2 linked regions of the Arabidopsis thaliana genome follow. The protein of the gene in region 2 purifies or fractionates together with the protein of the main gene of each other region. This does not show direct contact. Each region holds a gene or a part of one and is shown on either strand. Other genes may lie near its edges. The genes, in order: AT1G27695 and ABCI13.

Evidence for each region.
Region 1: the proteins of ABCI13 (region 2) and AT1G27695 purify together in Arabidopsis thaliana (affinity purification with western blotting, with the first as the bait; one study listed by BioGRID). This does not show direct contact.

What each region holds. Positions count from the first base shown.
Region 1 is NC_003070.9:9,633,535-9,644,579, reverse strand, and holds AT1G27695 (glycine-rich protein), read right to left. Parts: upstream 5,557-11,045; 5' UTR 5,458-5,556; intron 5,434-5,457; exon of another isoform or gene 5,373-5,433; 5' UTR 5,367-5,372; coding exon 5,327-5,366; intron 5,252-5,326; coding exon 5,207-5,251; intron 4,880-5,206; coding exon 4,847-4,879; intron 4,736-4,846; coding exon 4,578-4,735; 3' UTR 4,376-4,577; downstream 1-4,375. Other genes in the region: TAF4B (TBP-associated factor 4B), read left to right, coding at 1-91, 184-239, 326-382, 462-584, 674-724, 809-968, 1,078-1,229; AT1G27710 (Glycine-rich protein family), read right to left, coding at 1,392-2,030; AT1G27700 (Syntaxin/t-SNARE family protein), read left to right, coding at 2,828-2,904, 3,101-3,215, 3,292-3,780, 3,875-4,061, 4,161-4,186; AT1G27690 (lipase, putative (DUF620)), read right to left, coding at 6,273-6,821, 6,905-7,255, 7,498-7,899; APL2 (ADPGLC-PPase large subunit), read right to left, coding at 10,130-10,231, 10,307-10,579, 10,666-10,752, 10,841-10,921, 11,017-11,045.
Region 2 is NC_003070.9:24,290,389-24,302,857, reverse strand, and holds ABCI13 (non-intrinsic ABC protein 11), read right to left. Parts: upstream 7,690-12,469; 5' UTR 7,497-7,689; coding exon 7,311-7,496; intron 7,175-7,310; coding exon 7,043-7,174; intron 6,937-7,042; coding exon 6,841-6,936; intron 6,764-6,840; coding exon 6,686-6,763; intron 6,607-6,685; coding exon 6,545-6,606; intron 6,432-6,544; coding exon 6,356-6,431; intron 6,253-6,355; coding exon 6,145-6,252; intron 6,000-6,144; coding exon 5,824-5,999; intron 5,741-5,823; coding exon 5,656-5,740; intron 5,565-5,655; coding exon 5,526-5,564; 3' UTR 5,263-5,525; downstream 1-5,262. Other genes in the region: ARI8 (IBR domain-containing protein), read left to right, coding at 85-132, 395-466, 539-638, 1,104-1,230, 1,459-1,693; AT1G65425 (F-box/kelch-repeat protein), read right to left, coding at 2,270-2,390, 2,784-3,001; NPQ7 (antigen receptor-like protein (DUF565)), read left to right, coding at 4,484-4,623, 4,736-5,189; PP2-A5 (phloem protein 2 A5), read right to left, coding at 8,292-8,664, 8,791-8,921, 9,019-9,094, 9,519-9,671, 9,790-10,292. UniProt on the Arabidopsis thaliana protein: ATPase transporter involved in lipid transfer from the endoplasmic reticulum (ER) to plastids, and necessary for thylakoids formation. Not involved in transition metal transport pathways.

The sequences.
Region 1 (11,045 bases), about 15 Mb from region 2:
GTTTCTAAAGCATATCGAAGACTTGTGCATGGAGAGGAAGAAAGAACGCTTTTGCAGAAAATTCCACTGCAGAGAAAGCTGACAGAAATTAGTTTGTGTTTCAACTCGTATCTTAGCTGCTTCTTTGGTCCTTACTTGGAATCACTTGGAGAAGAAGTTTATGTATGCTTTCATATATGACAGTGGGAAAAAGTGGTTTAAAGCATATAGACCATGATGTAGAGCGGTGCTTGTCTCTGGTGAGATGTTAACACCTTTTCTTGGAATTATTAGCCTTCAATTTCCTGTTTTTGTTTTCGTTTTTCTCATGGCTTTGCGCATTCAGTGTGTGGAGGAGAGGATGCGAGGACTACTGTTTAATATAATACGAATATCAAAGCAGGTCAGTCTACTTTCTCTTCTCATGCCTCCTTAGATCTTGTTGTACCTAAATCTTTCTGAAGTTACAAGAGCTTTTGCAGCGGACTGATGCAGAGAAGTGTAGAAATCGGACTTTTATCACATCTGATATCCGGAAAGAAATTAATGAAATGAATCAGAAGGTGAAAGAGGAATGGGAAAAGAAACATTCTGGAGAAGAAAAGGTAATGGTTTGTCCTGAGCTTAATATCTATTTGTCTTAGTTATCAGTAGTAATGTCTAGTTTTTTTTTTTTGTATATTCATTGATGTAGAACAAAGAAAATGATACTGAAAAAGAAGACCAACGTTCAAACGAAGTGAAGGTATTTAGAACTTGAGCCAACTACCTAAACCTTTGGAGATATACACATACGTACACTGAAAGAGGTTTATTGATCACAAGTCAGGCAAATAAGAAGGACGAAGATAAAGAGAGAGCCAAGGCTGCAAATGTTGCTGTTCGTGCAGCCGTTGGAGGAGATGATAGGTTTTCAAAATGGAAACTTATGGCTGAAGCACGTCAGAGATCTTCTCCAGGGCCAGGAAGAAACTCCAAGAAACTTTCTGGTAAGATTGGTAATCCCGTTTCTATGATCTGAAAGAGTAAATCTCTCAGTTCTGTTGCTGGTTATTCTTGTGTTTCGTGCTCCTAATTGCATATTCGAACTTTATGTAGGTGGTACACAATTTGGGAAGAACCAAGGTTTACCAAAAGTAGTCCGGTCAATCTCTGTGAAGGATGTGATCGCTGTGGTGGAAAAGGAGCCTCAGATGTCAAGATCGACGCTATTGTATCGCGTATACAATAGAATCTGCTCGGATGTTTGAAACCAAGAAAAGACATAGGACCAATTCTTTATTTTTTTTTGTAGAAAGGTTCTTATTCCATTAAAACTAATGCCATTACAAACTCCTAAACATGATCAAGATGCTAAAGTACATCCTTATTTCTTCTTCCTTTCACTACCTAAAGCAAGCTGCATGTTTTTTCTAGTTTTTGCCTGATCCCTTCGTGCTGACTCCGCCGTGTCCATATCCTCCTCCACCACCACCGCCTCCGCTGCATGAACCTCCGCATCCTCCACCACCACCGCCAATGATGACTCCACCACCAATACCTCCTCCACCACCAATACCTCCTCCACCTGACCCGTATCCTGGACCACCACCTCCGTTGCCTCCATCCCAACCCAAACCACCACCTGAACCATACCCGGCACCTCCACCAAATCCACCACCGATTACAACACCACCACCGCCGCCACCTGGACCGTATCCACCACCACCATATCCCGGGCCTCCACCGCCGTAGCCACCAGCTGTGAGTTCACCCTTAAATCCGGTTACGTGTCGGATACTCTTTCCAATCTCACTGGAGTGTGCTTCATTCCTCATGAGCTTACTCTCTCTTCCAATCTCACTCGAGCGTGCTTTATTCCTCATGGACGCACTTTCTCTTCCAATCTCAGTGGAGTGTTTTTCATTCCTCATGAGCTTACTTTCTCTTCCAATCCCACTGGAGTGTGCTTCCTTCCTCATGGAGGCACCTTCTCTTGCAGCCTCGGCAATCATATGACCGATGAGACAAAGATACGAGGAAACAAGAAACCACAAGATCACTCTAGCCATGATGGCTGCTTAGTGACACAATTTGTTTGCTTAGAATCTGAAAAAGGAAGTAAAAGGACTTGTGTGTTTGAATAATACACAGCCACAAACACACACCACTATTTATATATCTTGGGACATAATACAACGGTGATGGTTGGCATGGGCGTGCCAGTAGAGAGAGAGAGAGGTGCATATATGGTGACTCACCAGAAAGGTGTAACAGGTGATGGTTCTCATTCGCATGATTTTTCCCACACTTTTTGCTGCATTTTTTCATTATTATTCATTTTGCAGTCTCAAGTTTTTTCTTAAATAAAAGAAAACAAGGAGTGACTCGTGTACCAATCCATTGATCTGATTTGAACATATTGGTTATCACACATATGTTCCAGAGGAAACAATGAATTATGAAACTGTAATAAAATGATTATAACATGAATAAAATTGATAGATAAGTCATAAGTAATCAAAAGTAGGATCATGGCATATTTTTTTCCTTTAATCATACTTTCGATTACTAGTTCTTTTGGTAATTATGCTGTCATAAATAAAGCGTTAACCAAAATGAAGAGAATTAGAGATTATGGACCGGTTTATTGAGAACCACATTGAATAAACCAAACATTAATAGTACTAATTTTCGCACGTGTGTGTAACGAAAGGCCGTAATTTGGCTAATCGATGAACGAACGTTCCCTCTCTTCTCTGAAATCTTTCTCGATCCATCCATCTTCTCCATTTTCCTCCATTTCTGGGTTTCTTCTCATCTTCCAAGGATTAGGAAATTAGTTTGTTTTTTTTCATCTGCTCAAGTGATGACGACGAGTTTGGATCGGTGGGAGAAAGATCCTTTCTTTCCCGCTGCTGAAGAAGTTCAGGAATCTGCCGACAGGTTTGCGTTTTTCGGATCCTCATCTCCCAATTTTCGTTTTGAATCTGTGATACCATAAACTCTCATTGTTGGTGATGCAATGTCGACGATTCGATTCGTGTTGCTTCGGATTTGGGATTACGATTTCTGATTAATCAAATCAAGTCTTAGATCTGAAATCTCACAATGTGTGTTGTTATCTTCGATTCATGTGTAGGATGGAGTCAGCGTACAGGACATGGCTCAATGGGAAACGAGACTCTTCAAAAGTATGGGACTCTGAGCAGCTTCATAGAGATCTTCACGCAGCTCTTGGAACCACCAAATGGCAGGTTTCTTTCTTTCCTCAGAACTCAGATTCTTAATCTGTAATGTTGATTTATGAAACCTGTAATATTTTTGGTGTAGTTAGATGAATTCCAAAAAGCTGTCAAATCTAGCTATGACAATCGTTTGAGTGATGAAACTAGAGATAGGCATCGTGAGTTTACTTTCGTAATGGAAGCTCAAGTGTCGAAAATCGAGAAATCTCTCAAGGAAGCTGCGCAATCCGATGGGAAAGGAACACCGAGATGGGTTCGTTTGGATGAAGATGATCGTAATGAGCTTGCTCTCTTCTTGACTGGTCCATCTGAATCTGCTAAAGCAAATCCTAATGGACATAGAAGGACTGCAAGTGCTGCTGAATTCAGTGCTTGGAACATTGCGGTTTCTGATGATGGTTTAGTGAAGAAATCTTGTGATGAGCCAGTGGTTCGACCTCCGAGGAAAGTACCTAGCTTCTCTGGATTCTTGAATTATATGGATCCTGTGTCCAAGCATTGCAATAGAAAGTGGAAGGGTTTAGATCGTCAAGGAGACTCTGATGCTGCTTTATTACCTATCCAAGCTAACCAAGTAAGTTTGATCGATCGATCTCCAACCGCAAGATTTTTGCCTCCTGCTTTGAAAATCTTTGCTAAGAAATGCTTTTTATTTTTTTGTTTCTCAGCAAGATATGAATGGATGTTCAGAGAGGGGCAAGAGTTGTATGGAGTGTGAGGAGGACTGTTATGAAAAGCAGCTTCATGGTTGGTATGGAGCTCTACAGAGGCAACTCCAACGGTCTCAGTATCGAATGCGATATAGTAAATCGGTTCACGCTGCAATTTGGATTATTCTTTTAGTTTTTCTTATTGGTAAGATTTACTGAACTCTGAATCATTTATGTTTAGAACGCAAAGCTTACTGCATCACTTTTGAGTTTTGAGATAAATTGTTTTTTTTTCTGATTGCAGTGGTAGTTGCAGTGCATTCAATGTAGAAGAGAGGTTTGGAATAGCAAGGTTCGAGTTCATTCATCTTCTGTGTAACAGCGAAAGAGACGAATTTGGCAATCCACATTTTTACTGTACAGTAAATTCCAACTGTTTTTGGTTGTTTGTAATATAGAAATGCATTTTTTTGGTTCGATTATTTGAAACGGGTTTCATTGAGCAATCATTGTTTTCTTAGGCACCAATCCTATTAACCATTGTAGAATTATTTGGGACTAAACCCAAGATTGAAGTGGAACCTTCTAAAAATGACAATTCAGAATACAGAAATGCATTTCGTATTGGATTATTTGAAGTAACCGTTTCATTGAGAAATAAGAAAAGGTGTCAGAATTCTTTTACAATCAATCCGAGCAGAGTATTGAAGCACACGACTGCTTAAGTGGAGTTTTTGGACATGTTAGCCACCACCTCCTCCCGTTTATCGGCAGTCTCTAACTCGATGCCTTGAAATGTAAGTCTAGATGAACGATAGTGACTCCCAAACGCAGTCCCGAAACCCCACCCGAGGCCCAAACCCACCCCGCAACCGCCACCTTTGTCAAATACCAGACGCATAAGTTACGTAATTAGAATTTAGGAAAAACCTGCTCGGTGTGTATCTATGCGAGTGTGGGATATTTGAAGTAGAAGTTTGAAATGCTTACCAGCACCAACACCTAAGATGTTCATAGGCATTCCTGCATGAAAGCAACGGAAATCTCCAATTCAGTAGGTTTGCAAAATAGTATGAATCCATCAAAATGTAAGCGCAACTGATACTAGCTATGCGTTTAAGCAACCATTAGCTAGGAAAGAAGAAGCATTTGAGTAAAGATGATATGTAGGAGTTGATAATCTCTATAAGAGACATTAAGCAATATGATCACAAAACTAAACAAGCACAGCAGAGTGCATTGCACATCCCATAGCAACTAGCAAGAGAATTGTTCCAATAGAATTATCTTGTAATTCAGTCCAGATTTTGTTCAAGTAAAAGCAGAAAAAGAGAGAAGTTGAGAACGAACCTCCAAAACCCCATCCAACGCCAAATCCACAACCAACACCGAACCCTATGAATTCCAATAACTAAATTACGATTCCAATCAAAATTAAAAGGAGAAAACAATTGCGAATGGGGGCATTACCAAATCCAACACCGACTCCAGTGAAGTCAGAGAGCACCATAGTGATCTTCACAAGAAAAAAAAAGAAACCAATTTAGGAATCTATAAATTCAAATGAGCAGAAATTGCGAATCTGAATTACCCGATGATACCTTGTTTGTTGTTGGTAATCGGTGAATCTGGTAGATTGCTCTCTCTACCTCCCCCACTTAAAATCGCAAGCCCTGAAAGCAAGAGAAGAAAGGTGAAGACGATTTGTTTTAGAGACGTACCAAATTAATCGAACCGGTTTAACTAATGAACCGGGATTATTTTCAAAATGATTTTATGTAAAAGAATTTGGTCAACAGTGAACCGGCCTAATTCTTTTTCTCAAGGTCAACAACAGTCAACAGTAAAATAAAACGATCTAGTGAGCAAATGGATCAATCCATATGCAAAAATGCTCATGTCCCATTGAAATCCAACTCACAAATAGGATTTGGATGGTTGAGACAGACAAACAGATAAGTACTTATGGCCATTTTTTGGAGTAAACTAATGAGCAACGGTTTGAAATAGACAGTAGGAGGAGAAATAACATTTACTAGTTTGTGCTACAAAAGAAACTACACTCACACTATGAATTTATTGATATACAATACAAGGAAGATCGTATTCATCAGTTCCAATTGGTATGGATGACCAAGTAATATTTCTTTATACTATATGCTATTAGGTGAAATAGATGGGAGCTTCTATCATAGTATATGAAACAATATTATAAACTAAAAATTGGACTGACCTTACTAAGACTACACATTCCTAACATTATGCGGCAAAAAGAACGAACTTCTCCTGCTGTCTATTTACAACTTCAACGAAACTTCCTACAAGAATTTTAGCTTCGACAATAGCAAAAGTAAAATAACCGGTCTAGGGTTTGTTTTTGAATGAGTTATACACATTGATCTCCTGCTTCTTCACATCAACCATTTTTATGGCCGTGCAATGTCCTAATTTTGGGGCCTTGAGATAAGTCTTCAACGTGGGAATCAAATCTGAGTTCTGAAGGTGGAATGAAGCAATCTATAGACAAGCCAGGGACATTGAACGAGATTTCATCGATGACCCATGCTTCTTGCATTGTGGTCTTAGTGTTATGTCCTGATGACATATCTCCAAACCTTAAAAGCGTAGCCACGGATCTACCAGAGTGAGCTATCATGATACCTTCGACAGGTTTGTAGTCTTCTAGGTATGAGTTGATGGTCGTCTCCCAGTAAACCGCTTCGCCTCCATTGTTTTGGATTCGGGTTAGCTGGGAGTCTTCTAAGTGAACAAGCAGACCGGTTTTTTGGCTGAAGTAACCGAACAACGTATGTCTTATGGTCTCTGATGCCCCTTCGCTTCTAGCTTTGAGTGTTGCCGGGTCTGCACATAGCTTGAGAATGAAACAGTCTTCTCCATCGATCTTTTTTTCTCCTATGCACCTTGCATTTGCAAACATATACGCTGTGGTCCTCGGGTCAAGTCCCTGAAAGTTGACAACAGTAACAATTCAGTTATGCAAGCAAAGAAAAGTGTATGAGAAGGCTTCCTTGGGACAAGAGGCCTAACCTGCAGAGCACGTCGTAATGGTCTAACCGGTCCTTTTGCAGCATGAGGTCCAAGCCATGGTGTGTGTCTCCACACAAGCTTCCCGTCACAACCTGCAAGAACCTTGCTCCCACCAAGAACAAGCTCCATGTACCACATATCAGGATTCATATGCCACAACACAAATCCTCCAGACTCAACAGCTTTTGACGAATTATTCTTGCTCTTTGAACCTTTTGAGCCTGTCTCAAACTCTGAAGCCATCGTCCTGATTCTTCCCATAACATATCCATTTTGCACAGAACTATGAAGCTTTTGACCTCCTGATGCAGCCGTATACTGCTGAAGTATGTACTGAGCAGAGGAAGTCTCCTGAAAATTCAAGTATTAGTAAGAGTCATTAGACTTTACCCTCAACACATTAAAGCAGAGATAAAACTTGATAAATCTCAATTAATTGCGCAGTCTTTCTCCGTAATTAGTAGGCAACTAAAAGAAGATTCAGCTAAATTCAAGCTAGATTATGGCACAGAAGAGCTTAATTCAACATGATTAACTCCAAATCCCCAACACTGTCCTAATTTTGAGGAGACAACAGTGAATTAAGAGCTCACCATAGGTGTATTCTTGATACTGAGGTGTGGAAGGAGATCCAGAGCGCTAACGTGCACAGGACCTAAAGGTGCGCCAAGAACACCGAGGAGAAGCCTCAGATCCGTTCGTTTGAAATCCGAAGAGGACGATACTGACGGCGGAGCCACCGGAAGCTGACATTTCATCCAATTGTACCAACGTCTCTCGAACCTAGAGTAATCACCACTGCTTCCGGAGTCTTCAGCGTCTGGATCAGGACCTTCTATAACCGGAGCAAGCATCTCAGACATGTGCCGGTCCGGTTGTGTGACGTAACGGCCTTTCCGGCGACGGATGATGATCGGAGAGACGCTTCTGACTGGACTCTTGGATCGTGGTCGCCGGGAATTAGACTTGGAGAACAAGCCGTGCTTCTTATCCATAGTCGGAAGAAGAAGAAGGAAGTGTTGTTAGTAGTGTGAGAGAGAAGACGCAGGTTTGGTGATTAGAGAAAAAAGAGAGAAATGTTTGCGTCGAAGGGAAGGTTGCAAAATATAAATGTCGAATTTAATTCGTTAATTCGCTTTTTTAACCATTTCTTTTGGAATTTAATTATTCTTTTCTTATTTTGGCTATTATTTAGGGTTATACACATTTTTTTTCTCGACATCGTTGAAATTATGAATCACTGCTTCTCGAATAAAAACTTTTAAAAGTCTCATTATTACAGGCAAATGGGATTCGGGATAAGATTTAATTATGAAAATTGGTATAAGAATTTTTTTGTTATTTTTTTCTATTGAAATGGTTTTACATTCCATTTATAAGACATAAAACATTCATATTTGTCTTCTTTCTCTCAAGTCTTTTTTTTGGGCTAACTCGTTCCACATTGGATAAGAAGAAAACTTGTTACAGTTTGTGACCACAACAACGAGTTAAAAGGAGTTGCTTAATATGTTTTGATTTTTTCATAAAAGTTGATAATATGTTAATCATTATATATATATATATATATAATACTTTATTTCAAAAGCAGCATAAATTAGTGAGCAATTAGCCTTAAGGAACACGAAAGGCATGCTCTTAGAGATGGAAATTAATTAAAGTCAAAACAAAGCAATTGAGTGTTATATTACTATTTTAACAAAAAAAAAAAGGTGTTATATTACTAAAAGCAATATACAATATAGACGAGTAGGGTGTGCATGAGCATGAGCATAAGTCACAAAAGGTCAACATAACACAAAATTATTAAAAATAGTCTTCCTTTTCTGGAGTTTTCAATTTGATTCATGGGACCAAATTAGAATGGATATATATTTATATGGTTGCTTCTTACTCATTTTCATCTTTAACCTCAAATAACCATTTTCCATGGTACTTCTAAACTCTCAAGTGCGCCTTTGTGTGTTCAAACAGAAAAATAATTATGGACGACAAAAGAAAAAAAAATAACTTTTCTTATGTTTTTTTTTTTTTTTTTGTCGTCCATATTTAGTTCATATAATTGTTTTCTTAGTTTTGTTTTACCAGTCTAAAATACCTTATATCTAGTTTTAAATACCTTATATATAAGTGTTTGACAAAAAGTAAACAAATAATCATTTATAAGATTTTTTTTTTCTACAATCACACACGATTTTGATATCAAGTTATTATAGCTCAGGTTCATTCTTACTTACCAATAACCCTATTGAGCGGACGATCATTACAGCGGACGATCATTACTTACCAAAAACTTGTGTTGTGATTTTGTGCTATTATCTTCACTATGATATGATGATAAAATATTCTCTCATATATCGTCAACGTGAGGCGGGAAGTAACGGTGCCATGAGGCCGAGAGAATATAAAATGAATAAAATTAAAAAAGCAGTCGGTGTATGTAATTATAACTGGTGATGATAAATATTGAGCATGCGAGTTTGGTCCAGTGATAATGACAACTTTTCTGCCAACAATCTTTGGGAGGCCCAAACACACAAATACTAAAATTAAAACCAAAAACAGTCTTATGGACTATATACTTAACTCAAAGGATACTTAATGTGAGAAACCTTCTCTGAAAGTTTACGTTTCATGCATACTTGTATATTTGGGTTTTTGTTTTAACTCAAGAATCAAGATTCAAAATTAAGAAAACTAGGGATGTCCCATATACAGTTGCAGACATAAAAAGTTAGGAGACTTTTTCAGGACTGTTGGCCTTGGATTAATTTGACACTAATTGAGTTGGTGAGGTAGCTTCTAGTGGTCCTTACCTTCTCTAAAGATCAGACCATTTAGTCTTCAGAACCTATTCTCTCATTCTCACTGCAATAAGAGACAAGAGTTTTATGACTCTTTTTATAGTCCCATAAAACTCGAATGAAATATCTATAATTTGTAAAGTGTATATATGGATGGGAGTCTCAAGTCTTGTGTTGTGACTTGTGATCGTGAGAGTGAAGAATTTTACACATGCTTTTTTCTCGTCTGTTTGTGATTGGTTTCTCTCTGTGTTTTACGTAATCATTAAGATTTACCAAGATTAACGATCACGTTTAAAGTTGCTAAAACTGTCATTCGTTTGTGCCTCTTGTTTTATTAAATTATTAATCGAACGTAACTAGTCTCGTTACAAAATCACAAGAAGCCACATACACTGCTCCTAAAGAGAGGTTTAAAAGCTTAAATATGCAGACCATCTCTAATGGTGGCGTTCTTCAGCACAACGGTGATGCCTGATCTTATGTGAAACCCTTCCTCTGGTCTATCGCCTTCTTCCACGCCCTGCCACAACCCAACACAACAAAAAATCAGACAACCATTTCTTCAAAATAACCAAAAAGATCTTTGAAAACATACATCTGCATTCGCTATGACCACGTTCTTCCCGATCTTGGCGTTCTTGTCAATGATACAGTTCTTGATTTTTGTGTTCTGGCCAACCCCTACCGGAACTTTCCCTTCCGCCAAAAGAGACGCGATCTCAGCTTCCGTTTGGTAGAAATCAGCTCCCATCATCATTGTATCCTGAAGCTCTACTCCAGACTCGAGACGTGATCGTATGCCAACGATTGAGTGCTGCACACTGCATTCTCTCAAGAAGCATCCATGTGAAACTATGGAATCAAGTATCTGCAATTCCATAATACACTTTACAACATGAGGATCGATGAATCATTAGCTGAAACAACGGGATAATCGAATTCAAGATATTGTACCCTGCATTTATCAACTTTGGTAGGTGGCAAGAATCTTGGAGAAGTGAAGAAGGGTGTTTTTTGATCGTAGAATTGGAATTTAGGAGGCTGCCAAAACAGAAACAAATAGCATGATTAGGTTTCACTGAGTCACCACCCTGCACTGGAGATGAAACAATAAAGAGTCGGTGAAAACCTGTTCCGTGAGGGCTAAATTGGCATCAAAGAATGATCCTATGGTTCCAATATCCTCCCAATAGTCATTGAACAAAAATGCCTATGTAGCAGCAAGTTAATAAATAAAGGTCAGAGGAAACACAAATATTGATTGATGATGTGATATGCTAAACAAAAAATGAAGAAAAACCAGACCTGAACATTATGCTCCCCTACGGCCAACG
Region 2 (12,469 bases):
AAAGAAAAATAAGTTTTGTATATACTAAAGGACATTGGCATTTATTCCAAAACAATTTACAAGTTTTTTCACTGCTTGCTGCAGTCTAGGCAAAAGGCGCTGCTGGATCTTAAGAAGATGCAAACAGATGATGTGAGCTTACAGTGCAACACTTGCTGATGTAAATAAGGATCACAAGTATTGCTTGATGTGAAAAACGTGTGAAATATCTAAAATAATCATTGCTTCTTTTAATATCAATCCGTGATTCCAGATTTTGTATCTATTTAAAGTTCAAAAGTTTGCTTAGGTTATTGATTTTTCTATTTTGGCATGAGACCTCAACTTTCGATGATTTTTCTTGCTTATTACAGTGTTGGGTTTCACTAAAGCTTTTGTTCTATGGACTTCGCAGATTGAGAAGCTCAGTGACATACAGTGTCAGCCTGAATCACAACTGAAGTTCATTATAGAAGCATGGTTACAGGTAAAATCCATTCCACCCTTGGCCTTTCTGAGACTTTTGGATTTTGCTCACTAATTTTCTCTACGATCATAGATAGTTGAATGCAGACGAGTTCTAAAATGGACATATGCCTATGGTTTTTACATACCTGACCAGGAGCATGGAAAAAGAGTGTTTTTTGAGTACTTGCAAGGTAACTTGATTTAGCTCTCACATTTAAAATTTCCAAATATAGGTTTATGCATGAAGATGAGAATAAGAGATTAAACAACCATTAATCTATGGTCTTTTCCAATTGTTGGATATTATATTGAGGGAGAGTACTTAGTGATGGTTAGATCCATCAGTAGTTCATACGTGCATTGATGGATCTTGTCGTGATTCTTATAGAACACCATGTAGTCTTAGTACAATTGGGAATGGTTTAGGATTTTCCCTATGTGAGATCATGTGGACTATGTAGTCAAGCGTCACTCATAAGAATTTGATCAAGCTCCTTAATCCAAATCTTAACCAATTTGGTCAGGGTTCAATCCCATCTTTGACCACTAATTTCGATTTGTTCATACTTCATAGGTATAAGGACTTTTGTTTGTAACATGCTTTATTATGCAAAATTTTTATTATATTACTTCTTCTTATTTTACCATGAATTTAGGCGAAGCTGAGTCGGGCCTTGAACGACTTCATCAATGTGCTGAAAAAGAGCTGCTACCATACTTAGATGCCAAAGGTCCAAGTGAAGATTTTAATGAATTCCGCACAAAACTGGCAGGTTTAACAAGGTACTTTCATAACCTACATAACAAACTGATAATCCAAATTAGTGACATGGTATGTTTAGTAGCTGTTCTGAAACAGTTTCAAGCACATTTAGTTACGACTGAGTCACTAACCGAAATTTAGTGCTGAGTAACAAAATTTAGAGAAAATTAAGGAAGTTTTCGTTCACATAGTTGGCACTGCGTTTTATGAAAGAGGCTAATAACATTTTCTAACCTGGAAACGAACAGTGTTACCAAAAACTATTTTGAGAACTTGGTTAGAGCGCTGGAGAATGGGCTATCGGATGTGAACTCGCATGATGCATATGATCGAACTTCAAGTTCAAAGAGCTTAGGGGGGAAGACTAAGGGATCGAGTTCTAAAGCCAGCAGCTCCGATTCAAGCCATTGGCCTTGTGAATATTGCACTTACGTAAATCCAAGGTCGACCACCATTTGCCAAATGTGTGAACATGGCCGGTGAAATGCCAGAAACTGGCATTAAAGACTGTAATAGTAATGCTTCGTCGCTTTTGGTCATAATTATGATCAAGTGTCGTGTAACTTTGTATGTTTCTCGTATTAGAATAAACGGGTCCAATAAATTGGATTAGATTGGCCATTATTATTGATTTGCCAATGACCAAAAAGTGAAAACATGAGAGGTGAGTTATATATAAGTTCTTACAAAATAATTGTAAAACTTCTGTAAGTTTTTTTCTAATCTTTTGTCCAGACAATCTAATTTTTGTAACGCCTGCTGATTTCTATTATTATTCTAGAATATACAAAATCCAGAAAAAGAGATTCAAGTAACGAATCCGGTTCGAGTCTTGTAGTTTCAAGGAAAGTAAGTTATACTCTGAAACTTAGTACTGAGGATGCTTAAGAAGGTTATGCATTGAATTAGTTGGCTCTGGGTGATGAAAGAAGCTAATAACCTACTATTACTATGAATGAACAGTGACACGGAAAACTATATCGAGCGGTGGAGAATGAGCTATTGGATGCGAGCTCACATGGTGCATATGAATATGATCGAACTTCAAGTTCAAAGAGCTTAGGCGGGAAGACTAAGGGATCGACTTCTAGAGCCAGCAGCTCCAATTGAAGCCAATGGTGTTGTGAATATTGTACTTAGGTAAATCCAAGTTCGACCACCATTTGCCAAATATGTGAACCTGGCTGGTAAAATGCCAGCAAAGAAAGTTAGATTGAGAAGAGAAGTCGATTCCAAACAGATTGTCTAAAAGACTAAAACCAATGTCAGTGTCTGAACGAGCTCAACAACAATGTGATGGACACGGAAGCGATAGAAACATTTGTTCAAAAGTCTAGCAAGAATCTCCAAGCAAACATGTTCTCTTTTCACTATTCAAACTAGGTCTCATCTCTTAACACTGAAAGAGACATCTGTTTATAAATGACTATTTTAAAAACCTAGTAAGAACATCACACCCAAAAGCACTAGGAAAGGTAAACCAAGATAAAGCAAAATAGTAAAACACAAAATGAAACCAGACTTGGAGTAAATGTATAAACACTTGAAGATGTATTTTACGAAAAGGATAAACATGGGGTGCAGTTTCGGGTTATATATGTGGAATCGTGGGCCGAAACCATGAGACTCGATCCTCAATCTCCATTCTTGTGGAAGAGAAAACTTGAGTCGGATTAGTTCTTTCACTGGAAGTCTTATGAAGATTTCCTCTATGACGTCGTCTGGTAGTGATGATGGAACAATCACTTCCACCTTTTTCTTCCTTAGATATGAAAAAATGGATGAATGCATTTCGTTTTGCATAAGAATTTAGAGTGTGGTAGTTTAAATCTAGTTAATCTCTTTGTTTTTACCTTTTAGTAATGTTAATTTAAATTTTAGACAAAAAAATTAAGATTTAAAAACAGAAGCTAGCTATAAAGAGATATGCATGATTAGACCAGATTCTAATATTAATTATTATTTTTGGCAGGAAATCATACCTCTTACTAAAATAAAGTTGGAACACAGAATTAGATAAGCAATAATATACTTTAATCAGATTCTGAAAAATAAAACTTCTAAAGGTTTTGATTTTTTTTTTTTTTTGTCTCATAAGTTTTATTAAACATCATCATATCATACAAGAGCTTAAACAAAAGCTCCAACTTTGGAATTACATAAAGCCCAAAAAAGGCCCATTAGATAACCTTCTGCAGAAGAAATTCTATCGGAACTCCATCCATGAACACATGTCGACAACCGGGATATACCACGTCACACGCTGGATGAATAATCAAAAGTTTTCCGGCAACAACCTTCGCCGTTGAGCTGATTCCGGTGAGATGATTCTTGTGTTTTGCACCAGAATGAAAACATCAAAGCTCCAAATTAAAGATAACGGCTTAAGGAATCGTGATAAACGACGGAAGAATCTTCAATCCTTCAACAAAAGAGAAAAATTTCTTTGAAACCATTATGTAAATCCTAAGTTCAAAAAACGATCCGGCGAAACCCATCTTGAAAACTCAAAGGATAGAGAGGGAAAAGAACCATCGAGGATATGACAGATTATTACCCCCAACATAAATCCGATGAGATTATTAGCAAAACTAAAACAAAATTCAGAAATTAAAGAAGAACATAAACCGGCCATGACCGCTAGAATAGCCGGTCGTGCCGGGCAAGAGCTAGCCACCGTTGCTGAAGAAGCTAAGCGGTGCTAGACGAGAGCTGACCATCGCGGAGATTTGGTACATAAGCCGGCATGAAACCGGACGACAAAGAACGCGGCAACGGAAAGCCGTGTCACGGCTAAACTAACGGCGATATCGGACCACGTCCGAACGGCAGAATAAGGATAAAGTCTCCCTCTCTGAAGAATGTTAGAGAGAGAAGAGAGCGAGACTAAAGGTTTTGATAGTTGTGAGATTTTCAAATAATATGTGGAATTACCAAATTTATTATAATTGATTAATCGTCCTCCAAAATTTGTAAAACTTGAAATTCAGAACAAAAAAAAGAGTAGAAGGAGTAAAATGTCTTTTTCAACAGAATGAAAATCTAAAAAGCTTCAATGCCTTTTGTCATTGTTTCTCAATCATCACTCATCTTCACCAATCTCCATTGATTCCTTCAAGCCAAGCTTCTTGCATTCTCCTCTTAGATCAATCTGGTTCTTTCATATTCCTTGTGGATATGATCCGTTAAGATTCGTTCGTTTTGTGTCTAGTAGATCGCTGTGACGTAATATAAAGAAAACCCTAAATCTCAGAAAACTCGAGACTGGTTCTAATGGCTTGTCAAATTCAAGCTTCACGCGTTTTCCCAGTTCTAGAAATTGAAAAAGGTCTCTCCTTTATGATAAATGTCTTCCATAGGAGAATAAAAGCTTCGTCCATTACTCTCACTTCATTTCCTTATCCCATGAAAAGGTAGCGTTTGCGTTTGCGTTTTGATTTTCTGCACAATCATTGATTGGCTTATTGAATTTGGGCATAATCATTGGTTTGGTTATTGAAAAGTCTCTTCATTTTTTGCCAATAGTTTTCAGATAAGAAGACCAAACCGGAAAATAGCGTTTGCGTTAGACACTGGTTCTTCTATTCCTGGAGATAGTGGTGAAGGGCAAGAGATGAATGGAGACAGAACCGGTCTCGGTAGCACTCGGTTAGGTAGAATTGCGATTGCAGGAGGCAAACAGTTACTTGGGAAGATAAACTCTGCAAGAAAAAACTTCCCAATGAAGATATTTCTGCTGCTTCTTGGTTTCTACACTGCCAATGCACTAGCTACTATTCTTGGACAGACTGGTGATTGGGATGTGCTTGTTGCCGGAATCGTCGTTGCTGCGATCGAAGGAATCGGTATGCTTATGTATAAGAAACCGTCTTCTTCAATGTTTTCAGGGAAGTTGCAGTCTTTTGTTGTGTTTATGAATTTTTGGAAAGCTGGTGTTTGCTTAGGTCTCTTTGTTGATGCTTTCAAGTTGGGTAGTTAAAAAGACAAATCTTTCTTTTCTTCTACTCTATGTATATATGCAATTGTTACTACTGTTTTGGAGGTTCACAAGTGTCAATTAAAAGTTTCATTTTTGTTGGGGTATATGTTTGAGAATGCAGGTCTTGTTCTTGGCACATTAAACCAGATTCTCATTGATGCATAATGAAATCTCAACTTACAATGCTTTTCTGATCTATGCATCTAAGATAAAATAGTGTTTACAAGTAGCATCGTATTGAACCAATTGATCCAGCCATGTGGTGTATGTCAGCCATTACTTGTTTGCGTTCCCTATTATCGGTTAGTGTCCCTCTTTAGGCTCGGTTTGCCTCCCCTAGTATCTGATTGGTCCATCGAGGCTGCCTGTAGCAAACTGCGAGATACACAACAAAAATGAATGACTAACACTGCATCCCAAGTACTTCAATGTTGAAATTAGATGTGAACATGTGAAAAGAAGGGACCTGTTGAACTATTGGATTAGTTGAGGTTGTGAATTCATGTGTCATTCCTTGCCAAACGATCTTTCCTTCATACAGAAACAATAACCTGAATAGAAGAAACAAATATTACTCAAGGGATGAAGCAAAAGCTGCAAAAACGTATCTTGTAATATGGACTAGAAGCGGAACCTGTCTACAGCTCTTTGAATGGTGCTATGTTGATGGGTAACAACAAGATAAGACGCAATTTTTCCAGGTTTTCCAACTGCATCTTCGTCTGTCATGTGAACAGACCGTATAAGATCTTCAACTACAGTTGATGCAATTGGATCAAGTCCAGCAGTTGGCTCATCGTACAAAAGCACCTAAGAAAAGGCAGTGAAACCCATAAATGAATTCCTAATTTTTGCCACATGATGACTTTAAGTTTCATCAATAACTATACAGATGCAGGAGTCAAGCCTCTAAAGAAGAAACACATTCATGAACTTAAGTAGATATTAAGATTACCTCTGGCTCTATGACCTCTTTTGTTGTATCAAAAATTAGTGAACGAGCTAAAGCAACCCTTTTCTTCATTCCACCAGATAGCTCAGAAGGTAATCGATTCTCAACCCCCTGATCTTATTAGAAACAAAAGGCAATAATAAGCTGGATGTGGACTATTGACTAGGTACACTTAACTAGCCTATGTTATGAAAGTTGTACTGAATTGAGATACCTTCAAACCAACAGCTGCCAAGGTTTGTGTCACAAGCTCAGATATTTGATTCTCGGACATTTTTGATCTTTCATAACTGTGATTAGTTACCACAGAAAAGTTTAATCAATATGACTGAAAACGAAAGAACATCAGCAATGTTTTAGCTAGAAATGAGGTTATGTAGGACGTTAAAGAATAACATCTTACAGTAGAAAACCAACATTTTCACGAACTGATAGTGAATCAAAGAGAGCTGCACTCTGAAATACCTGTGAGACAGAAAACAAAAAGCCATTTAGATACAAACTCAACGACTTATGAGAAATACATCTCCAGAACAGCACCTACCAGGCCAATACGAAGTCCTGATATTTCCTCATCACTTATCAAACCAGCTCGTTTTTTTCCTCGTATATAAACTTCTCCCTGCATACCAATCATCAGAAACAATCCATAACCTGAAAGGTTGTAATCTGCCATATAGAGAAGAAACAGTAACAGACCTTGTCTGGAGCAAGAAGACCAGCCATAATCTTTAAAATTGTTGATTTTCCAGTTCCAGAAGGACCAATCACCCCAACAGCTTCACCATGTCTAATCTGCATACTTAAAAATTGGTTAGAATGTGGTGTCTTTGTGTGGTGTCTTTGTGTGCCTTTCAAAATCTATAAGCCTTCTTTCATCACTGTAAACACAACAAAATACCTTAAAGCTAACACCTTTCAAGATATGTTTCTCCCCAAACGATTTATAGACATCTCTACATTCAATAAGAACATCAGAATCATTCTCAAGCCCTCGCTCTTTACACATACCTCCTCCAGACTTGGTAAGACTCTGCAGATATGAGATATCATCACATTATCAAACAAGTTGCAACCAAAATGATACCAATATCAGTACTTTATTTAAGTCCAGATTCCACAGTGATCCATTTAATTACTTTAGAAGAAGCAAATCGTGAGATTATTACATCGAATTTGGTGGCATCGTTGTCCAAGTTCTGAGGTGGAGCTATGCAACAGCAAGAGACTTTCCGACGAAACGAGATAAGACTCCTTCTTGGTACAACGATGGACTGAACAGAAGAAGAACCGTGGTAGTGTAAACTCGGAGGAAGCAACGAAGAAGAAGAAGAAGAGCATGATAACGAAAGCATGATTCTTTCTTCTGGGTTTTGAGATCGTGAAGAAATTGAATCGGAGAAGGGCAAATTCGATACCAATTTGGATGATTTAGGAGAAACCCAGAAACAAAGGAGATCAAAGGTGTGAACTTTATGGCGAAATTGGCCTTTCTTCACAGACTATAGCGAGTCACCGATTGAGTGAGTCACATTGCCATTTTTCGTTTTTTTCTTTGTAAATTATTTATTATATTGTGAGGAAACGAATTTTTTTTTTTTTTAGGAAACGAAATTTACGTTTTCTTTTCAATGTTTGCAAAATGTTGTTGATCAATCATCCGAATACCAAAATAGAGTTAGTATCGAACCGCACCTTATCATTGTAAACAATATTTTTTATGGATGACTATTGTGGACTTTAATTAAAATCGGTTGAATATCAAATTTTGCAAAATGTTGTTGGTCATTTTTCGATAGGATTATCTCTAGGCCTACAACTTTGGTAGGTTTGGGCATTCGGATACTCGTCCCAATCAGTTCTTTTTTTTCGGTTTCGGGTCTAATAGGATAGAGAGTCGGGAACTGTTCGGATATTCTAAAAATTCGGTTTGGGTTTGGTCAGTTATAGAATTCAATAGTTTGGTGGTTATGGATGTGATAACCAATGCAGAAGAGAGTAAATAGAGTATAAGTTTTGAAACCGGTCAAACTATCTACACAAGTAACATTGTAACAAACATTTGGGAGGTGAAACTAAGATTATGGTTCAAAGCGAGCATTTCCACTATATATATCTCAGACCAACAACATACATGCTTATAAAATGACTTAGTATTTGGGACGAATTGTAACACCTTTGACGAAGAGGCCTGACTTCCACAGTTGGCACTCGTGTTCGTACATTGCAAAAGAGATTTCCCCGACGTTTTTCTTCGATGTGGTGAACTCTCCAACTGGAATATCGAGCCATTGGTCACTTATGTAGTCAAACATGTCCACACTCTGTTCTTGCGGTTTCTCCCAAGTATTCGGCAAGTCTAGCTTTAGCTTCACTAGTGTCTCCCATTCGAATGTGTATTCTAACTTCACTACGAACACCACCTCGTACCTTGTCCTCGGGGTCAAATATCGAGTGTCAAACTTTCCAGCTACGTCTAGCCAGCTAGCACTTTTCAAAAATGCAATTTCCATCACTGATTCACTGGAAAGTATTGTGCTTAGTATTAGACAATAAATCTAGAAATATTATCGTTATAAGGTATATATTTTCGTGATTTAAGATATTTCTTTCAATTTATATAAGAAATACTTTTAAGAGAAGTTTTACTTTGAATTTTGGTTTGGGAGAGGGAGCCAGGTCCAATGGTTGGAGTCCTCTGACCATGCAATGGAAAGATCTCTTGCGTCAATCATGAAAACGTTACCCTTTGGTCTCGTAAGGTCGACCCAAAATTTGAACTGTCGATATATAAATCTCCATGTCAGTTCATGAAATGATACCAATAAACATATATAAAGAAAATCAACTAACAAGACAGCAAATGTAAATTAGGACCTCGTATGAGGGCACTGGTGACTGATTCTTCATCTGGTAAAATTCATTTAGCACCGTAACTTGAACGGCTTCCTCACTGTACATAAATAGAAACATCGAAATGAAAAAAAAAAAGTTATCAGGAAACGAGACCTAGGGGATCTAATCTTTTCATGCAAATTAATGTCACAGTTTCTAATCTATCCTTAAGAAGAAAATGTTGAACTTTTTCCAATAATAAATTAGAAAGCAAATGATGAAGGAAAATATAGTAGACATTTTATACAAGTTAAAATATGATAGAGATGTACTAAAAATATAATAAAAGTAAAACTTAACAATCTACTACACAAGCTTTTAGCATTTTTTTATTTATTACTTTGTGGAAATACTAGTAGCTAAAATGATTTAACTTAGCTATTCGATCAATACTTTCACATGACATACCACTGAAGCAATGTATGTTTCATCAGAATATCATTAATTTTCCTAAATGAAATCGTAAGAGAGGCACTACTTACTTTGGTGACTCGTGCATAGTGATAGTGAGTTTACATGCAGGGACTGAGAAATCTTGATATTCTATTTCTCCATTTCTTCGTTGGAAGAAATTCTTCTGCACTTTTTTAACAGCCTTGACGATTGACTTTACAAAATCTCTATCCGAAATGTCACTATGATACAAAGAAAAGAGAGTAAAATGTCAATGAGTGAACAGAAATTGTTACAGTTAAACAGATAACACTTAATTTATCAAGTAATAAGAACATATAAAAGTGGAAAAATAAAAACCTGTGTTTTGGTAAGATCAAGGAAAACAATTCGCAAACAGAGAACAAAGCTTCCGTCCATTTATGGAGCTTTTTTGGTTCAGGTTGATATTTATCTACCAAATCCCAAAAATTATCGCCAAATTTTCCTGTAAGATCTTTTACCACATCGAGATCAAGCCTGTAGAATATTGGAATGATTATGAGTCTGTTTTGATCCATGTATTCCTTGATTTTCACCAGCTCGTCCATACACCAATGTGACTCGCAGTATCCTTCAGAAAAGATAACCAAAGCGATTTTCGACTCACCTATCGTATCAAAAAGACTGATTAGGTATTTGCCCCTCTCCTCTTGTTCGTCAATAAACACGTTGATCTTTTCTTTTTTCAAAGCAGGCTTAAGAAAGCTCATGAAGCCTTTTCGTAAATCTTTCCCCCGGAAATTGATGAACACTTGAGGTCCCGTAGGGATCAATGATACATTAGAGGAACAAATAGAAGAAACAGAAGATGCTCCCGACATAATCAGAGAGCTTATTTCTTAGAAACAAAAGATGTTTGATATATTCTTCTTTGAATTTGCTAAGGTGTTTATCTTCTTGGTTGGGATTGCAAACATGTCCTTCTTTTGTGAGATATATAGAGTTCATTAATCGTCGTTATTATTATAATAATTATTCTAAAAGATCATTTTTGTTGTTTTGCTTGAAACTTTAGGTGGCCAAAAATGAAAGTTGCATAAGAAGACAGAATTATAGTGGACAACTTGCTCTCTTTTTTGGGGTCAAAGATTTAGACTTAAGAGTTGACAACGTGTTTCCCCACTCGAACACTAGTCGACTTCTTCGCTGACTAAATCTTTACAAAACGAGTAAGGTCTGACTTCTTTTTTTCCTTTTGGTTTTTAGAGTTAAGAGCTGACTTCTTCTTCTTTGCCTCGGCCAACCTATCTAGGGACCGTTTCATCATGTTAGTTTCAAGAACGATTTTAGATCCATAGACGGATTGATTTAGATGGTCTATAAAGAACTGAATCATGAGAAAGTAGGACTATCCGAGATATTAACTTGGCGTTTTGAACTAGTACGTTAATTTTTTTCAATCCAAAATTAAATTGTTTTCTAATTTAATAAAAATCGATTTATTTACTTCTTTTTTATTATTTTTTTTTCCTTTTAAAATCATTCCATTATATCGAAATTAAAGTGTTAAAGTTATACAAGACTACAGAACCAAAATTATTACACAAGCAGATATGTGAGCCATTTTCTGAAAAAAATACGAAAAATAAGATTCACGATGCGTTTTGGACGAAAACGCCTTATTCGCTAACGAAAACACATATTCGTGATATTTCTTCGACTTTTTTGCTCCAATACGATTTTTTTGCCTTTTTTCTTGAGGCTGTTTCATAATCGTATTAGTAAAACCCATTACGCCTGATATTAGTCTTGGAAGCACGACTATCTGATGCCAATTAGTCCGCATCAATGTCCTTGAAACTATCATAAACCTTAACCTGACTTCAATATAAACCAGTAGCACTATCTTCTCCACATTGTGAATTCTCCTTCTGAACATTCCTATAAAAATATGGCCATCTTCTTTCATCCATGCAAAGAGAACCAGAGAATACTTGAATTTGGGACCAAACATTATTAGTAAGTTCTCTTTGCATGTTCGAACATGCATGGATGAAATATGACCTTTGGTTCGTTTTTTGAAGTGGAACTTATCGAGTATTAATTTACAGAGGTTTAGTATAGAAAAATCTATTTATATTCCATTGTAAAAATAATTTGAGATAAGTGAAAAGTAATCATTTTAATTTTTTCAAACATATTTGGGAAAGTAGTCATATTACTATTTACAATTTGCAAAGTAGTCATTTTTAAGTGTTTGATTTATACACCTGGATTGCAAAGTGACTAGTTTTCCAAGAAACCCTAATAATAATTAAAAATTTCTTAATGGATTTGTTCACTATATATAACTGTCCCTCCATAGACCATGCATAATCCTCCACCCTTTTGCAAGTTCTCTATCTAGTTGGAGAGACCAAAGATGAATGTGAAAAAGGCTATGAAGAAGCAAAACGACGTCGCGATGATCCTTGGGAGGCACGTCTTATCTTCTGAGTCGGAATCTAACGTCATCTTCTCGCCGGCGTCAATAAACTCTGCGATCACCATGCACGCCGCTGGTTCCGGAGGTGGCTTAGTCGCCGGTGAAATCCTCTCCTTCCTCAGATCTTCTTCAATCGATGAGCTCAAATCCGTCTTCCGAGAACTATCATCCATCGTCTACGCCGACAGCAGCGCTAGTGGCGGCCCAAAGATGAGGGCGGTGAATGGCCTCTGGATTGAGAAATCACTACCGATTGATCCCAAATACAAGGCTCTCTTCGAGAACTTCTTCAAGGCTGTTTACGTTCCCGTAGATTTCCGATCAAAGGTAATTTTCCACTTTAACAGCAAAAAAGAAACTAGGGTTTCGAAGAAATATAATTAGGGTTTTGCAGAAACGTTATTTGGTGTTTCTAGATGAAGTGTGTAATAGCTGTTTGACTTAAAGAACATACTCAACCAGTCAAATTGGAAACCTAATAGTTCGTAATGTATGTTGATTCCCAAATCATAATTCGAATTAGGAGACTGTTTTCAAAAATCATCCAATATGTGTTTTTTTTGTTTGAAGGCT